2 linked regions of the Bombyx mori genome follow. The protein of the gene in region 2 interacts with the protein of the main gene of each other region in a pairwise test. Links are inferred from orthologs where the notes say so. Each region holds a gene or a part of one and is shown on either strand. Other genes may lie near its edges.

Region 1 (4,595 bases), on a different chromosome or scaffold from region 2:
CCTCTCGGACTGGGTGAATCCCGAAGACGTCTCACCTTCCGAGCGACGCATGTACTTACGGAACACGGCTATTTCGGTCGCTACCTGCACCTCGTCGCCCGGAGGGAGCCGATGCCGAAGTGCCACCACTGCAGCGGCTGTAAGGAGAACACGGCGGAGCACACACTCACGTACTGTCCTGCTTTCGCGGAGTGGCGCCGCTTCCTCGTTGCAAAAATAGGACCAGACTTGTCGCTTCCGAACGTCGTGGCTACAATGCTCGGCAGCGACGAGTCTTGGCAGGCGATGCTCGGCTTTGCGAGTCCACCATCTCACAGAAGGAGGCGGCGGAACGGGAGAGGTAGAGCTCTTCTTCGTGTGCCCGCGCACCATGCCACCCCCACCAAGCTGGGGTTCGGAGGAGGGCGTTCGTCCAGCTCCAGCCCCTGTGAGGAGGCAGTTTCCTCCCGGTGACGGTCACAGGGCGACCTGAGGGGGTTGAGGCTGCGCTGCACGCTACCACGCCGTCACTCTAGCACGCTGGCACCAGGCCACGTTGTCGTCGTCGCTGTCGTCCCCGAATATACTGTGGAAGAGCAACCCGGTCGGCGGTGTATCGCGTTCCGACCCGGCAGGCTGGTTCTGACCCAGCAAGGTATCATGGAACACCTGCGGCAACGCCTGGACGGCCTGGCAGGGCCGCCGTAACGCGGAGATCGGCGTCGTTAGTCGTCGACTATCCTAGCCTAGACAACCGTCAACGCGTCGGTTGGCTGTCCTGGAGGTGGCGGGCGGCATCGCGAGTATGGTTGTAGTGTTGACCGCAGGAACCTCCTACTCTAACCGGGTTCTGACCTCGGGTGATGATCGGACGTCGGGTATAAATATGCAGGGGAGTCGTTTAATGCGGTAGGGCCCTGAAACTCCTTGGGTTCGCTTTCTGCTCCCAACATCTGCAGATCCTCAAGTCCCACGTACCCCGCGTGCCCCCTAGGCGCAGTGATCTCGTAGGAGTATTTTAGAAGTAGAAATTCAACAGAGATATTAGGTAGTAGATACCTATCTCTATATAGTCTGTGACACGACTACAACACACAGTGTGGAAATGGGTTAAATTTGGCTCTCAAATATTAAGTGTTTAATCTGAATTTGGCTACACACGTTCTCCAAAGGACTTTTTGGCGGTAACACGAAGAGTGAAGTTGTGTGATTTGTTTTATTTTGTCTATTTAGTGTTTTTTTTATGTTTAAATGTGTAATAACGGTGGTTTATTAACTATTAAATATCTGTGATAGTGCACAAATGTGGGAAAATGAAACATTTCATTTAATTTCATCCCAGTTGATTAATGTCTCAAATTAATCATCTTCATTTCATTTCATATCATTTGACTCCATATTATCATTTTTCATAAAATAAGAATAAAAACTAAAATAAGACTTGGCCTAAAGGTCTTAGTTACCAGGTCATAAAATCCCTTAAAAAACGTTCTCCAATAGTCTCTGTCTCTAGAATCTAGATTTATGTTTGTTTGAAACCTTCGTTGAAGTTCGTTGCATAGATATTAAACTGTCAAAATGTCGGTAAATGCACAAATGCATTTAAACAGCAATGCAAATATTATAAAGAGTGATAAAACTATAATAAAACCTTTATTCCCTAAACGTGAGGAATGTTCTCATGTGTCCTGTTATTGGTATGTAGTAATTTCCGCACACTTTCTGAAAATTCTTTGTTGAAATTTGCAATAATGTCTCTGTTTATTCAATTTTTTAGTGAGGAAAACGTTTGGAAACTTTGCCAAGACGTTTCATTGAGAGTACCCGAGGAATTGGATAGATGCTATGTCGTTTTCATTTCGAACCCTTGCCGCACAGTGCCTCTTTGGAAACAAAGGGCCGGGCGTGAAGAAGATCGTCTCGTCATATGGGTGTGTACCAATACATCGTTTTTGGTTTTTGTTTTGTTGTTACTTAGCTTACAATCAATAAATCTATTAACAAGTTTAACAGGTAATTCATGAATTTTACAAATTGTTGACATACATACATATTATATATAATATTTTTTTACGATGTTAAAAATAAAAATAAAAAAATAATCTCAGAAAATAGATCTAAAGTATATGAATATTGTTCAACCCTATTTATTTAACTTATTTTTCTGGTTTCAGGATTATCATGTGATATTCCTGTATTCTGTGGATATCAAGTCTTGTCTTGTATATGATCTTGATTCAGAATTACCATTTCCAACATTTTTCCACAAATATGTAACAGAAACTTTTCGCACAGACCAAGTCCTCAAATCAGATTTCCACAGGTAAGATTTACTGATTTAATTAAAATATAGATACCTAGCAGTTTTTTGTTTTGTGTTTAGTTTTTTGTACCCCTGGCATGATTGGTACCACTTACAATCGAAGGGGCTATAGTTATGCTTGTTGTGGCAAAAATACACTCAAATTATGGTTTAAGTAATTTAATAAAGTGTCCCTTTAAAAGAAATGTATAGAAAATAGTAAAAAACTGAATTTTCATTAAAATTAAAACATAGCGAAAAAATATTAATATTATAATTTAAACATATTAAATTGGTGGTTGGGTGTTTAATAAAAAAAAATATGTTTTAGGTTCTTTCGTGTTGTGACTGCAAAACAATTTCTGCAACTTTTTTCATCAGATAGACGTCATATGAAAAGACCAGATGGTTCATGGATTAAACCCCCACCACCCTACCCAGCAATAAGCACTTCAGGTTAGTGAGCCACACCCATTGTTGCATGATAAAGTATAATTATTAAAATGAATGAGGTCAACTTTTGTTGTATGCTAAAGTAGTCATGGCAACATTTGATACCTTCTAGCTACATGGGCTTTGATAGTTTGTATTTAATATCAGCTATTTTAACATTAAATAATTTAGAAAATTGATTAAATATAATTGAATCAACCTTTGCTTGCATCTCATACTTTGCTCGATAATAAAGTATGTTGTCACAAAATCTTAAGGTTTTATTAAAATCTGACCTTTCAGTCTCAACACACAACTTGGATGAGTACATCAATATGGATGTAGACACAGGACCTGGGCAGGTCTACAACTTGACAGATTTTGTCCAACGTTTCTACAAAATTAACAAGTAGTACAAAAATGAAGCCTAGATAGTCCTAAATATAATTTAGTTTAAATTATCTTTATAATTGGTTTTTGTTGATTATGTTTTAGTAATCTGTTAGTAATTGTTTTTGTACATCCCTAAAAAATAAATCTGTGATTCGATTGCCATTTAGTAAATATTAATTTTTGTACAGTTTGACAACATTACACTTTATTTGATAATGATTTATTTATTTGTGAATTTTTAAATATTTTTCCATACTTATTTTAGTTGACATAAAAGGACTTGAAAAAATGATTTTGAGTAAACACATAAATCACATTCACTTTTATCTTTTAATAAAATGATAAAGCACACATTGATTTAATTAAAATCACTCACTACTAATAATTAAGAACCCATGACATACAAGTTCGTGGTATTTTGACATTAAACACAACTATAATAAAAAAAATTACATACCTTTATTACTTACTTGTTAAGTGCTTTCTATCGTCATGTTAGTATATTATCTAATATAAAAAGATTATCCTTTTAATAATAAGCAAATGGCAAGTTAGATAGATAACTAATACTTATAATAAAATTTGTAAGTATATAATCAAGAGGCTAGTGCTATAATTTCAAATATTGAATTGTAAGTAAGTAAGTAGAGTTTTAAAATTTTATTTATTATTAGGATCGCCAAAGGAATTTACAACATTGCATGACTGTACTTCAAACAATGAAATGTGGGCTAATTGCAATTCTCATAACAGGCTACCATAAATTATAAAAGAATTCAATGTTAATTTTGGTGAGTAACTATAAAACATAATAAAGATTATTTGATACTTGTTATGACTGAATTAAACTTTATTTACTAAATTTATGTTATCTTGAGTGATAATATAAAATTGAAGTAATTTTTATTAAAATGTATATTGTTGTGAGTAGCTTTTGTATGTTGTTAAATCTATTTCAAAATTTTGTAACAACTTTTATACACTTCTTTATTCTTCCCTAGCACCCTTAGTAAATATAAATTTACCTTCATGTTAATCCAGAAATTAAAACAATTTTATTGGAATGAAAATACTTGTTATATTCGTAAATATTTATTAAAAATTTATTAATATATAACTGGTTATAAGGTTTTAATTGTATCGCTTAGATTTTTAACTATATTGCTGTTATAATTGGCGCAATTTTAAATGCATCAGCAAAATGAGCAAATCAAGAATATATAAAATTTATTACAATAACCTACTATATTGTGATTATTGTTAGTTTAATTTACTCGACATTTATTCTTCAAAGAACCTAAAATGCATTAATTATTGTGCCCATACGTTAACTTAAAAATTAAAGTAGCATACTAGATTTAAGAAGAAAGCAGCACAAATTTTAAAATACCCATAAATTTTACTTAATCTTAAAAATGTATTTTATCAATGAGAGCATATAAAAGCACTTATCATTTTACATTTCGTATTTTCTGCAGGGTTTGATGAT
Region 2 (2,547 bases):
CAATAAAAAAGGCAGTGCTGAATATTTAAAAAAAAAATAGTCGTTTGGTATGGAAATGTTTGCCTTCGTCATTATTGGGAGGGGAAAAGAACAATACGTATGTATGTACGGACAAAACGAAACCCGTGTTTCCTTATATTGGTTTCAATAACATTCAACTCGACACGGCAGACTAGCTAACGACGTTTTTTTTTTTTTTTTTCGTCTTCGTTGTGTGGAAAAAATACAAGTACTATAAAAATTCAGGTCATGGATTTTTATTTAATCTTAGTTTCCCAAAATAGACTTACTGGAGAAGCTACTTCACTATTTTGCGTCACGGAATATCGGTAGCGTGGCCGAGCGGTCTAAGGCGCTGGTTTAAGGCACCAGTCTCTTCGGAGGCGTGGGTTCGAATCCCACCGCTGCCAATTTTTTTTTTATTTGCCCCAAAATATTACATAAATATTACTCAATCTAATTATACTGTTGTATTTTAAAAATATATATGCTTATTCGCAAGGCTGCTCAAGATAAATAAATTGTTTATTACATAAGTTGACCTTTTCCATGGAGTTCTCGGAACGCCTTATGGTGACCGGTAAAATCGAGGGAAAAAGGCCAAGGGGTAGAGATCCCAAACGATGGTCGGACCAAATAGTGGATGAACTAAAAATACCTGTCAGCGACGCCCTCCATTAAGCTACAGAACGGGATCGATGGAGACAGCTAGTTGACGGAATCAAACGGAGTCACGATCCTCAGCAATGAGCGACCGATTGAAGAGAGTATAGAAGTGCAATTATTACATTACAGGTACAAAAATAAATAAATTAAAACATTCATTCATTTGGAATTATTGTTACTCTTCTTTTTGAAGATCAGAAAATCTTTTAACATCATACATTCACATTCTCCTTACTAGTTTTTGCTATGGATAGGTGAACTCATGGCCTAATATTAAGGGGTTTGGAAGCCTATGAACCTCGCTACGTGAATGCTGCACTCCTCTTTGAGACACGGGGCGGTAGTCTCAAGCCGAAACGGAGGACTGCTTAGCAACAGAAATATGATGGAACAAAAAGTACCTCCAGATCTGCACCGGCGAGCACAGCCGTCCTCAGATCGCAGTTTTGTAAGTTGGCGTTCTTTAGTGTTGCCACTCTCAAATTAACCCCCGACATATTACTGCCTTCTAGATTTGCTCCTGAAAATTATTTTCTCTTTTAACCAACCAATTTGGATCACTTCATTGTTTGTTAGTGACCCAAAATACTGTACTAGCATTGCGCATTCAATTAGAGAAGATCTTTGTTACACTACTATTGAGGACTTCACTTAAACTTTGTTTGGAGAAAGAAGTCAAAGCGCTCAAGAAACACAGAGTTCATTCCAAAGTACGTTGGATCAATTTGACGTACACTGTCAAATTGATCTCTGTGGATCATCACAAATAATTTATCCCAGATCCTCTAATTTTTGGTTAAATAAAATATAGACTCATAATTCAAAAACAATTCAACAAAGACGATACGCTTTCGTAAAATTTTCCATCTTATTGTAAAGAATTGGAGTGCTACCAAAAAATAATATTGTACCTACATGTTTTTTTATTTTTATTAATACTATTTTGCTAGTTATTTGGTACTAGTGATGGTTATTCAACGTAAATAAATATGATGTCTTGGTTGCTCTTTCCCTCAAAACAAGACTTGTATTCACCAATATATTATTATTAATTTCATAGCTATCAAATAATAGCCATTATCTATATTAGTATTGGCTTAGCTAAATACCAATGTGGCCACTGGCATGCCACTGTATGGCAATACAGTGTATAAATGCACATACCACTCTAATTAGAATTGAATGTACCTTTAAGATTAACGCCTTCCATCAGTGCTTTGTTACCGTGAGGATCATCCATATTGCAACCTTTTAAATTAGCACCTGTAAATAAGCTCAAATATCTCATTAAAAATTTTATACTAATATTAAACAGAATGTGACTATGGAATTGTGGGAAATTTTCGAAGAAACTTGCCTAATGTTTTCTGAGTGCTATGACATTTTCTCCATTAAATGAGGTTTAAGTACTCAGCGGTAGGCAGTGGCTTTGTCCCAAGTTTTGCTTAAGTCCATGAGGGTCAGTGATCACTCGACATATTCGGTGCCTGTGTACAGTAAGTACATTTAAAGTTTTATTTATTTATTGTAACTATTATTATACGCCTTTTTTTCGTATCTTCATGTATTTAGGTACTATATTTTCTTTTAAATCTTTCTCTATGTTTTATATTGTAAATTCTTTTTATACGGACCTTCCATGTTAGCACATAAAGCTTTAACTCCAAGAAGCTGGGCACCTTCTAAATTAGCATGCGACAAGTCCGCCCTTTCCAGACAGCAGTAAGACAGATTAGCACCACTCAAATTGCACCGAGATAAGAAGGCATACTGAAAAAAAAAATTGCACTATTTTCAATTGTTTTTTTATTTATTGCTTAGATGGGTGGACGAGTTCACAGCCCGCCTGATGTTAAGTGGTGACTGGAGCACATAGACATC

What was found.
Region 1: the proteins of BTB/POZ domain-containing protein KCTD9 (region 2) and protein N-terminal glutamine amidohydrolase interact in binary tests that used the Homo sapiens proteins (3 or more experiments, as listed by UniProt). The link is inferred for Bombyx mori from reciprocal best matches to the Homo sapiens genes KCTD9 and NTAQ1.

The regions. Positions count from the first base shown.
Region 1 is NC_085111.1:12,730,979-12,735,573, forward strand, and holds the start of protein N-terminal glutamine amidohydrolase, read left to right. Parts: upstream 1-1,467; 5' UTR 1,468-1,557; coding exon 1,558-1,676; intron 1,677-1,756; coding exon 1,757-1,910; intron 1,911-2,153; coding exon 2,154-2,302; intron 2,303-2,612; coding exon 2,613-2,737; intron 2,738-3,016; coding exon 3,017-3,126; 3' UTR 3,127-4,595. UniProt on the Homo sapiens protein: Mediates the side-chain deamidation of N-terminal glutamine residues to glutamate, an important step in N-end rule pathway of protein degradation.
Region 2 is NC_085132.1:6,119,188-6,121,734, reverse strand, and holds part of BTB/POZ domain-containing protein KCTD9, read right to left. Parts: intron 2,437-2,547; coding exon 2,301-2,436; intron 1,930-2,300; coding exon 1,855-1,929; intron 1,187-1,854; coding exon 1,068-1,186; intron 411-1,067; exon of another isoform or gene 329-410; intron 1-328. UniProt on the Homo sapiens protein: Substrate-specific adapter of a BCR (BTB-CUL3-RBX1) E3 ubiquitin-protein ligase complex, which mediates the ubiquitination of target proteins, leading to their degradation by the proteasome.